Xenopus tropicalis: one gene and its partners. The protein of the gene in region 3 purifies or fractionates together with the protein of the main gene of each other region. This does not show direct contact. Links are inferred from orthologs where the notes say so. Each region holds a gene or a part of one and is shown on either strand. Other genes may lie near its edges.

Region 1 (3,653 bases), on a different chromosome or scaffold from region 3:
AGATGTAAGGGCTTCTGCTTCTGTTGAAGGAACTTTATAGATTTTTCCTCCTTTATAGACAAAGCTTCCCTCAATAACTTTAAAGTCCAGATAACGGGTGACTTCTGTGAAAAGCAACATCTTCACTAACTGGCCTGAAAAAGATGAATTAAAAAAAAATTGGTGTTAAGAAATAATCAGAACAATGAATTATCTGAAATCGGTAATTAAGCATGTCAATGCAAATTAGTAATTAAGCATACCTGTAGCGAGCGATCCCCTTTCATAAGACAGGGGTGGAAGATTGTGAGGGCTTGTCCACTTTCACAGGGTAAGTCAAATGCTATTGTATTATAATGGGTTGTGGTATATGTGATGAGGGGGGAACCATATTTCAGGTTAAAATATAAAACCAAAATAGTTACTACTGATGAAACTGAATTTAAGAGTTATGATTTTTGGTCCTGCTGCCTAGACCAGGGGTGGGGGAGAGTTTCTATTTAGGAGACATGAAATTTGGTGAATGCATCATTTGACTTTCACCCCTTACAGATAGGGATTATGATTTTCAAGCATATTTATAACATTGTACATTCTTGTAATTTCTATTTAGTTCTGCTGTGATTGTCCACCCAGTTAAGCAACTTATATACAGCACTACACATTAATATAGCATGTATATACACACACATCTGCACAGAGTACAGATTTAAGACATACCATTGGCCATTAGGAATTTGGGAATGAGGTCCACATTCCAGTCTCTTCCTCGCCCCATACACTCCGGAGGACTTCCAGGTATATTAAATCTTTTGTATAGCTAAAAGTAGATATGTAATTTTTTGTCAACTTGCAGTCCAAAGAAACATTCCTCAACAGAGAAATCAAATCAACCACTAGATTTGGCAAATGAAAGACATACTATCTGACATGTATTTTTTTTTAAGTTTTCGTACTGTGCGTATTTTTTGTGACTTTTTTATACTTTGCTACAAAAAGCATGACAATTTGTGCGACAAAATCGTATTTGTTGCGCCAAGTACGAAAGTTTCGGATTGATTCAAGCTTCAGTATACTGACTTTCCTTTGGCCAGGATGGCCAAAGTCAGAAAGGTTTTCCCGCCAATTATAACAGTTCGGATATGAAAATCTTGTGACTTTCGATCACCGATACGATATTATCATGACTAATATGATTTTTTCAGAAGCATTTTCATGATATTTGCAATCATAAATTATCGTCTCTAATCCGAATTTTACCTATTTCGGGATTCAAACTCATACTTGATGAATCAGCCCCTAACTGTCTTGTGCTGGCGGCTACTTACATCTTCCAAAGGTGTTATTGAAGCGCTCTCTCCTCCATAGTAAGAGTTACGATCCATGTGTAAGACCTTTTTGCCATTCACTGACATTATTCCTGAGAGAATGCATTCCTAAAAGGAAAACAAAAATCTATAACTATTTAAACAACATATACACAACTGTACTGTACACAAATAATGGTTGAATTCGAAGAGCTTGTGAATTAACCCATACAAAGCTAGTCTATTTTCTTCAAGTATGAACACCAAAGTGGCACACATTTTTTTCAACATATTCTCCTCCTTGACTTTTACTTAGGAAAAACATATGCCATGTCTTTCGTGAAAGACAAGTTATAGTGCTGGGCGGTATACCGGTAAAAACCGATCACCGGTTTTTTTTTTGAAACCGATATGAATTTTCTACATACCGGTGTGCTGAATACTTCCGGGTGCGCGCGTGACGTCAGCGCGCACGTGACGTCAGCGCGCACACTCTACAAAAGCGCCATCGCTAGGACGCATTCAGAGTCGGATACCAATGTGAGCTGTCGGGGGGTGCCTGGCCAGTAATTATATTTTATGTGAAGGGGATGGGGTTGTGTTTGGGGGGGGTGGGGTGGGGGGTTATATTTATGTGAAGGGGATGGGGGGGTGTTTGGGGTGGGGGTGGGTGGGTTATACTTATGTGAAGGGGATGGGGTTGTGTTTGGGGGGGGGGTGGGGGTGGGTGGGTTATACTTATGTGAAGGGGATGGGGTTGTGTTTGGGGGGGGGTGGGGTGGGGGGTTATATTTATGTGAAGGGGATGGGGGGGTGTTTGGGGTGGGGGGGTGCGTGCGGATGGGGGGTGTTTGGGGTGGGGGGGGTGCGTGCGGATGGGGGGGTGGGGGGGTTGCGTGCGGATGGGGAGGTGTTTGGGGTGGGGGGGGTGCGTGCGGATGGGGGGGTGGGGGGGTTGCGTGCGGATGGGGGGGGGGTGCGGGTGGCGGGTGTTTGGGGTGGTCACCTAATCATGCATGGGGAAAAAAAAATACCGTCAAATACCGTGATACCGATATATAATTTTGAAAAATACCGTGATATAAATTTTTGGTCATACCGCCCAGCACTAACAAGTTATATGGCTTCTAGACCCCCCCAAAAAAATTGTAAACACACACTTCCCACCTCTCCTGTAAATAGCTGACTCAGGCTAATGATTAAGGTAAATGAAAAAGTGCCTGATGGAACAAGTTTGGGTTGTCATTTAGTTTAATGGAATCTGCCTGTCACTAGAGGTGGCGGTGACACTATAAAAGCAGACAAATATGATCTATCAGAGTAGTATTATACTTGAACCAACAGCACATTATGCTGCCGAATTCTCAAAAAAAGATTTTGCTGGCATTTTTTATATCCATAGAAAGTAACATGACCAAGTGAATATGTATCAAAGTCTGTAGTGTGAATAAGGCCAAAGTCTGCAATCTAATAAAGCTAGAGTTCACTAGATGCAAAAGTATGAGAAACATGACACTGTATTATATAAGATGGATTTATTCAGCTGATGTGATTAAACTCCAACATTTTGAACACGGTTGCTGCAAAGAATCTGGCTGCGTAGTAATAGATCCATCCGATTACCACATGAAACAATCGTGAATCTGTGTTTTTTTTAGCCATTTGCAAGATCCAGCTATAGCATACAATTTATAACTCAATGAAATTTGACTGAAGTCAGTAGAATATATCCAGTCTACATATCAAGAGAAGATATAAAAACAAGACTGTACAGTGCGGTATCTTCTTGTAGTGCCACCGCGTATGCCATCCCACCGGCGATTTACATTTTCGCAGGTGGGATGGCAATCCGGGGAGATTAGTCGCCCGCGAACAGGGAGTTTTGTCGCGGGCGACTAATCTCCCCGTGTGCCAGAGCCCTTAAGCAATGGAAAGGTTTTATCTGCTATCTCTACATATTATTAATAAACTGAGAGCATATAGCTAATCAATACCAAAGGTACTACTTGGTGGAGAACAAGCAGTTTAGTAACCACTACCCTGACAGCAGTCCCATGTCTATATGTGCATACCTAATGACTCTAACCTGCCATGGATAACCAGCTATAGAAAGCAGGCCAAACACAAAGGTGTTACATGGCAAGGTCGCTAAGCAAGAGGATCTTCTTCAGATATCCCCACCTATGGGTGGGCGGTATCGGGCTAATTCGAATTAGACTGACTGGTATAGGCACTGTTGGTTCGGGGACCGCATCAACGAGCCAATGCGGTCCCCAATCCAATGGAAAAATCAAACCTGCCTGATCGAGATCTGGCCAATTTCAGGCCAGATGTAGGTCGGGCAGGCCCGTGCCCATATATGGGCAG
Region 2 (3,653 bases), on a different chromosome or scaffold from region 3:
CGGATTCAGACGAATTCACTTTCCTGGCTGAACCGAACTGTAATTAGCATATGCTAATTAGGATTTGGAAGGGTTAAAAGAAATTTTTCGCCATTTAATCCTTCCAAATCCTAATCAGCATATGCTAATTAGGATTCAGTTTGGTATTCAGCGGAATCCCTTACAATGGATTCGGTGGTTCGGCCGAATCCATCCAAAACTGGGTTCGGTGCATTCTTAATTTAAAGGAACAGTAACACCAAAAAATTAAAATGTATAAAAGAAATAACATTATAATTTACTGTTGCCCAGCACTGGAACAACTGGTGTGTTTGCCTCAGAAAGACTTCTATAGTTTATACAAACTATAGCTCCTGTGTATCTACGGGGGCAGCTATCTAAGGGTGAAGACACAAGGGGCGATTATTGCGCGCTCGATTTGCCGCGGCAACGCAATTGTTCTATATGAGCGGAAAAAGTTAATTAAAAGTTGTGGCGACTAATCGCTCCGTGTGTCTTGGCCCTAAAGGTGAAAAGGCTCAGGTGACTTAGCAGATAACAGATAAACTCTGTAACATATAATGGGGGTTTATCTGCTATGTAACCTGTGCCTTTTCTCCTTTTTTCCAGCTTGAATGGCTGCACCCATGGCTACACAGCAACTTTTTTATATAAACTATAGTAGCATTTCTGTAGCAAACACACCAGTTTTACCAGTGTAGTGCAACAGTACATTATATTTTAATTAATTTAAAACTTTCAAATTTTGATGTTACTATTCCTTTAAAATGACCATAGGATCTAGAAACAAGCCTCTTTTTTATCCAGTTCAGAAAACATTGAAGATTTATAATGTCAATTACACTACGCAAACTCACTTCGACTGGGTGAGAGAATGTTACTGACACACACGGTTCATCCAGACTGACCATAACACATCGAATGGAAACTGGGTGATCCGCTGCATAGAAAGCAAATGGGAAATTCATCAAACCAGATTTGCACGTTTTGCGCCTTAAAGGAATGATAACAACAAATTATAAAAAGGTTCCATTTACCTTTGAATATAAATGATTATTTACAAACACAAAGGAAAGAGCAAAACAATAAAATGTATGCATAATTGAGCGTGGCTTGGTACCACTCCTATAACAAGCTCCAATGTGCCCCTTCAACCTGTTGCAATGAAGCAACCACAAATGAGCACAATAAAGCAATTACATAAATAAGATCATTTTAACAATAGAGGACCCTACAAGTTCTTGTAAGGCCTAGTCTACATGGCAGATAACAGAAGCTGAAAACATTGTTACATAAAAAAAAAGGACTGTTGTTCCCAATAAATATTTTATTTTCAGATGCATATAATACACATACATATATTGTATTTTGCTGTCCCTGTAAGGGATGAGATAAAGATCCATAAAATGCATGGGTGTGGCTAATTCTGCATAGGAAAATGTTTTATTGTACTGAAGTGTTGCTTATATTTTGGTTGATATGCAGAGTTACCAGATTATCCCCTTATTTACGCACATATATATTCTGAATGTGACTAAAGGAGAATAACATGTGCTGACATACACACTCTCTGAAAACAGTGCAGAGGGTTGTTTCTGCTAATGTTAATATGAGAGAATTGTTTTAATACTCTCAATGTGTTTGATGCACTTCTGCCACCTTCATAAACACTTGGGCACATAAACTACAACATGCTCCCTGCTGTTTTAGTCAAATTATTTAAAACACAATAGGAGGGTTATGGGATGTACAAGAATGTATGTGATTTCTATAAAATGAGTCAGTAGAGGGAACATATTGTATATTCCACTCCTAAAATTTCTTCTAGACAGATGCAAACAGAATATAAAACAAAGCATATAGAGGAGTCTTTAAGAATATTATGCTATTTCAAGCTACAGTGTGCTAAGCAAAAATTGTACACTAACCACAGGGTATCAGTTGCTCTACCCATAAACTTGTTGCCCTTTATTTCACTGCTTAATTTTCTTACCTCGTCCAAGAAGCCAGCGATGATAAAACCAAGCACTCTGGTCATTTGGGTCAGTAAAGAATGCATTCTGTACAAGTTCTAGCTCTGTAATTAAATTATGACATGTGAAATATTAGTAGTGAATAACAATGCTTACTGAAAATCTAATTTGTAACAGTTTATTTTCCAACAAATATTTCCTACTGCTCTCTCCCTCTGACACTCTCAATCCTCAACAATATCCATAGTGTACAAGAATACAATTTAAAAATAAATTTCTAATTTATTATCACATGATTCTGAATTTCGGCTATGCTATTACCCCCAATGTTCTGTAGGCAATTTTTACCCAAAAAAAAAAAAATAAAATAATAAAGTTGGGTTGTTGCTCATTTTTCTTGATAGGGATGTGCAGCAGTCACACTTCTTAAAGTGCTATTTAGTGACGCAGGCTACTGATTAGCACAGAGAATTACTATCCCCTTCTTATCAGGTCCTTGGGGCAGAATAAAAGAAGTGTCAAAAATTTGCCACTAACCCCTTTAATACTGTGACTTTCAAAAGTTTCTCCCTTCTCTCACCATTTAGCAGGGCCTCTTCTGTAACTCTACCAATTCTAAGTGGGTCTGGATGGATCTGTGGCAATAGTTTGCTACGGTAATGCCAGGAAGAATAGTTTGAGAAGTTTTTGCCAATTAGAGAAGTAGTAAATTCAAGCTCTTCAGGGAGTGGAACAGATGAGGACTGTGTAACAATCCTCCGGTAATCCCAACAATGAACTGTATAATATAAAAACAGACGTTGGATAAGAGACCAAGAGCACGTTAATCCACAGTAACATTCCATAGTCCCAACCAAGCTCATCCCACTCACAGTTTCGCTCATCAATTTCAAGAAATCGGTTACAGAGTGTCAATTCCCGTGCCCAATCTGGTTTAGGAATGATCTTCATAATCCAGCATCGGTGATACCAGGTCCCATATGACTTTGGGCTTACACGAAGGCAGTTCTCAAGGAAGGTGAGCTCTCCCAAACAAAGAGATTGCATCTCTTCTTCTGACCTCAAGTAGAAAAGAAAACAAATTGTTTTGTAATAGTTTTGTGTTACTATCCCAATTACCTGCAGCCAATATATTCAACACATCCCAGAGACACTGTGAAAATAATATTGTGTATTAGTAAAACATAAACACGTACAATATAATAGGTACAGACCTACTTAAGAAATGCTATATGGCTGTCAATGTAACCACGTGACCAATGAAGAGATTATATTCCTTGAAACAGTGGAAATGCTTACTAGAGTCCACACACTGAGCACTAGCTCACAAGTTAAAACAGATCAGAGTAACTTTCTGACCTTATTGGTCACTGTAAATCCAGCTTTAGTCACACATATTCTTTAGTGAACAATGAAGGCAAAATAAAGGCAAAGGCCTTCCTTCTTAAAACCAGGGTGTATCTTCTCCTTTAAAAAATTAATGTAATGATAATTTTGACATCTGAAAGTATTATTTACATTAAGCTACAGACTTGATTATAGATAAATGCTGTACTGCTCATGGGATCACTGGCCCATGTATTTGTGAGCACCATAGAAAATTATGCTGCTGCACAGTAATGTCTATGGAGATTTGCCATGAAAATCCATTAGTGGTATATATCTGGCTTTTTACTTTCT
Region 3 (4,393 bases):
ACATGCAAGATCAAGGTGTTTTGTTGTTCTATTGACTATCACAACAACCTAACTACTCCAGTTACACTGCTTACAAGCAAAAACAAAGATTATAGACTAAAAGGTAACTAAAGGCTAACATTTCTGAAAAGCTTCAGCGAGGTGGATACACTTCCTAAAGTTGCTTGCCACAAAGAGTCCTGTAAGGTGGGCATCAATTTTCAGGATTGTAAAAAATGTAAAGACATCCTTTATATAATTAATTTGAAGTTATCATTCTTTATTTAAATAGTGTGTAACTCTTATAATTTACATCAGTCCCATCACAGAAAAGCTAAAAATCTTATTTTGCTATTAAGCACACACTAAGTCAGTTTCACTAGAAGCTAGTAAAACTAAAACTAGTTAATCTACCACTGTGTTTCTAGATTGCTGGAGGAAACTGGATCACATGGAAAACCCCAGGTCATGATTCTCATGTTTAAAAGGCAAGGAAACCCTTAACTGATGCAGCTAGGACAGCTTTTCTAAGCAAATAAAGTAAATGCACCCCCAATCTCTACTAGCTTACCTTTTAGGGTGCTGCTAGGTCAGCCCTGCCCAATCAGTAAGCCATGAAATAAATCCATGTGCAAAAATGTAAGCAGCTCAAAGCACTGTTGCCTGCAGAGGGAAAAAACTTCTACACCTACTGTCCTGCCATAGAGGTCATGCATGACAAGAAAAGCAAAGAAACTGCCGAGACGCACTTCAGGGTGAATGCCTTCAATATTTCTAAGCAGAATGACAACAGTTTCAAGCAAGCACCCTTCCGCACATGCAGTGTCCAACAAGATCCTGGTGTATATGTGCTCATAGGAGACTGCTTGTAATGTCACTTGGAAGAGAAAGTGACCAGGCTTGCTGGCTCTCACATAGGAAAAGGAGCGGGCAGGACTGTGGGCTACTGTATTATCTGCATAGGGCTGATGTACAGCAGAATATGCAAGGACTTGTAGGATTTAATTGCTTTTATTTCAGTGTTACATAAACAATATATTTCGATTGTGTAATCAGACTTGAACACAAGAGGCTCCATTTAAATAATCATAAATTATTATGATTATCAATAATATCGATGAAGAGTGTCCATACATGGGCCCACAAGTGCAGTGCGACCCACAGGTTGAATGGCTACATAGCACAGGAGGGATGACACTTGGCATGACTAGCTTTCTATTGTTCAATCCACTTTCTCAACTGCCAATGCACCCTGAACTGGGAGATTTGACATTTCAAACCTGACCGATTCCTAAATCAACCAATATCCAAAGTACCTGATTGGCTGACACACAACTACCAAAAATCACATGAAACCTTGTTTTGTATGATATTATTGGTAAGTGTATGTGACCAGCATTACAGTTGAGATGTTTCTCTAAAGGCAACAAAAAAATGGCGCCTGAGGTGACACTGTAATTTTCCCAGGTGTAATAAGTTGAAATACCGACAGCCGTCTGGAGATCCCAAAATTTTGGTCAGCTAACAAAGGAGTAGCCGACAAATGCAGTCTGTCGCGGGGAATATCTAACAAAGCATTAATAGGAACAATATGTTGACTGCCAAATAAATATACGCATACTTAGTTTTCTTAGGATTCCCTTTAAGTTGAAGAGCAGGTAATGCATGACAATAACAAAATTCTTGGCAGACTACTGCAGAAACTAAAAGTAAATATACCTAAGAAGTGTACTGGCGCCAGCTATACCATAAGTATGAACGTTACAGCAAAACCTATGTGTAGGATTATCCTGTCCAACTGGAGGCCCATGGGCCACATGTGGCCCTCCGAGTGATTTTAAGGCTCCCAGCCTGTTCTAGGGTTTCAAAGAATTCAACTGCTACAGTGATTAGGGGTTTCTAAATTGTTTGGGGCTCTTTAATAAATTTAGGTTCAGAAGCCATAGTTTGTAAATGCAAAAGTGAACAATGCACACAAGAATCATCCCCAACAAGTTGTTCACAAGCAACACATTGCTAATCACATCCTGTTAAGTAGGTGCTAATTTTAAAACCTTGGTAGAAAGACAGAAAAGAGAGGCTTGGGCAAGCTGGCAGTGCACATGGGGCTACCAAGCAGCCAATCACACCCAGGATCCTTTTTCAATGTTGTGTGGCTCAAAGACAAAACCATAGTCTGTCTAGTGGTGCCTAAACCCCCCTCAAAGATCCCTCCATAGAGTGCAGATACATAAGTATACATGGCATGAACAGAAAACAAACACTAAATAGTACAATATACAGCTGATAAATGTCTAAATATGTCTACTATCAAAACAGTAGAAAGAAAAACAAAAATAAGAGTCTGTAAACCATTTTATCACCCAACAGGTAGTCTCTAAATAATGTAAAGGAAAGACAACTTTCTGACAGAAGCCATCTCAATGACTCCAAAGTGAAAGTGGGATGTTTATCTCCAGGACAAACCTTCCACTTCTTAGTCCTTCCCCCTGCGATGAGTTGGAAGGCCTTTCCTACACACCCAAGCTAAATCCCAGCACCTAATGTACAACAGCAAGGAGCTTGGGCCTGTAGTTGAACAACTGCCACAATTCCCAAAGGCTAGAAATACACGTAGGAAGCCGTAGTTCAGCTGACTTATTTCTTGACCAGCTGCGCTGATGGTTATACAGCCATGATCTGCTGCTGCCGAACCCAATTAAGAGTAGCTGGAGGAGCACTAGTTGTTAAGACCCTACTGCTGAATGTAGAATGTTTCTATACAGGGCAAGTACAAGTCCACCCCATGTGATTAGAATGATGATTCTTTGCTGCCCAATCTAAATCTCAGCTACTACTGCATACCGCCAAACAGGCCCGCTCTTCGCGGGACAGAGCCGATTTCCTCACACAGCCCGGGCTCCCGGATCGCTGCTTAAACGTCCCGCAACGCCGTTAACGTCCAGCTTCTTGGTTCCTGCCGGACAGCTAATCCCGACGTCACAATTCTCATCTCGCGAGAGTGTTGCGTCACACTACACGTATATAAGCGCAATGACGCATCACGTAGGCGGCTTTGGGGGACTGGCAAGTGTGGATGGGGTACTGTACCACCATTCATAAGCTGCTGCCAGGCTGTGGTGGGTACGGCAGAATGTGGGTCTCTGCGATTATTTGTAATGAGCTGCTCACAGCTTCTGCTTGTACTAGGCATGAACAGAATACACTTATCTTTCTAGGAGGTTCCCGGCCATGATTCCTCTACGTGCGTCTCAACGCCGGGTACCTGGGGGCATTTCTCACAATCTGACCAGAAAGGACAGTTTTTGTGCAAGCTAGGGCACGTTGAAACTATGTAACCTTTTTGGTATTTTGTATTTTTGAGAGTCCCATGGTATTTTCTTTTGTATATAAGCGCTAGATAGCAATTTTGGCATAAATCAATGGCTGATTTGGGGAAAAAATTGACCAAAAGGAATCTTCAGATTTTGGAATCATTTTCCTTTAGGGTTTTTTTTTTGCAATTTAGGGAGAAAATATGAGTATTTGCGAAAAATGTGAACTTTTTCTAAAGTTTAGGACTTTTCTTAATGACCACGATAATGTTAAAATGATACGACTTTTTCACATTCTGTGTAAATTTGCACAAAAACGTCGTATTTTTCGCAATGCCTACGAACATTTCGGAATTCATTCAAGCTTTGGTATGGTGACTATCTTTTGGCCGGGTTGGAGCTGCAGAGTGCCATTGAGCCCTATGGGAGACTTTCCTTGCGCCAGGTTGGAGCTGCAGAGTGCCATTGAGCCCTATGGGAGACTTTCCTTGGGCCGGGTTGGAGCTGCAGAGTGCCATTGAGCCCTATGGGAGACTTTCCTTGGGCCAGGTTGGAGCTGCAGAGTGCCATTGAGCCCTATGGGAGACTTTCCTTGGGCCAGGTTGGAGCTGCAGAGTGCCATTGAGCCCTATGGGAGACTTTCCTTGGGCCGGGTTGGAGCTACAGAGTGCCATTGAGCCCTATGGGAGACTTTCCTTGGGCCGGGTTGGAGCTGCAGAGTGCCATTGAGCCCTATGGGAGACTTTCCTTGGGCCAGATTGGAGCTGCAGAGTGCCATTGAGCCCTATGGGAGACTTTCCTTGGGCTGGGTTGGAGCTGCAGAGTGCCATTGAGCCCTATGGGAGACTTTCCTTGGGCCAGGTTGGAGCTGCAGAGTGCCATTGAGCCCTATGGGAGACTTTCCTTGGGCCAGGTTGGAGCTGCAGAGTGCCATTGAGCCCTATGGGAGACTTTCCTTGGGCCAGGTTGGAGCTGCAGAGTGCCATTGAGCCCTATGGGAGACTTTCCTTGGGCCGGGTTGGAGCTGCAGAGTGCCATTGAGCCCTATGGGAGACTTTCCTTGGGCCAGGTTGGAGCTGCAGAGTGCCATTGAGCCCTAT

The links.
Region 1: the proteins of rab5a (region 3) and gdi2 purify together in Homo sapiens (affinity purification with mass spectrometry; 3 studies listed by BioGRID and IntAct, counting the BioPlex papers as one, with this or other methods). This does not show direct contact. The link is inferred for Xenopus tropicalis from reciprocal best matches to the Homo sapiens genes RAB5A and GDI2.
Region 2: the proteins of rab5a (region 3) and rabggta purify together in Homo sapiens (affinity purification with mass spectrometry; 3 studies listed by BioGRID and IntAct, counting the BioPlex papers as one, with this or other methods). This does not show direct contact. The link is inferred for Xenopus tropicalis from reciprocal best matches to the Homo sapiens genes RAB5A and RABGGTA.

Annotation. Positions count from the first base shown.
Region 1 is NC_030679.2:84,466,004-84,469,656, reverse strand, and holds part of gdi2 (rab GDP dissociation inhibitor beta), read right to left. Parts: intron 1,416-3,653; coding exon 1,308-1,415; intron 800-1,307; coding exon 700-799; intron 135-699; coding exon 1-134. UniProt on the Homo sapiens protein: GDP-dissociation inhibitor preventing the GDP to GTP exchange of most Rab proteins. By keeping these small GTPases in their inactive GDP-bound form regulates intracellular membrane trafficking.
Region 2 is NC_030677.2:139,152,783-139,156,435, reverse strand, and holds part of rabggta (geranylgeranyl transferase type-2 subunit alpha), read right to left. Parts: intron 3,034-3,653; coding exon 2,846-3,033; intron 2,752-2,845; coding exon 2,554-2,751; intron 2,078-2,553; coding exon 1,994-2,077; intron 941-1,993; coding exon 858-940; intron 1-857. UniProt on the Homo sapiens protein: Catalyzes the transfer of a geranylgeranyl moiety from geranylgeranyl diphosphate to both cysteines of Rab proteins with the C-terminal sequence -XXCC, -XCXC and -CCXX, such as RAB1A, RAB3A, RAB5A and RAB7A.
Region 3 is NC_030682.2:45,567,109-45,571,501, reverse strand, and holds the start of rab5a (ras-related protein Rab-5A), read right to left. Parts: upstream 2,932-4,393; 5' UTR 2,824-2,931; intron 1-2,823. UniProt on the Homo sapiens protein: The small GTPases Rab are key regulators of intracellular membrane trafficking, from the formation of transport vesicles to their fusion with membranes.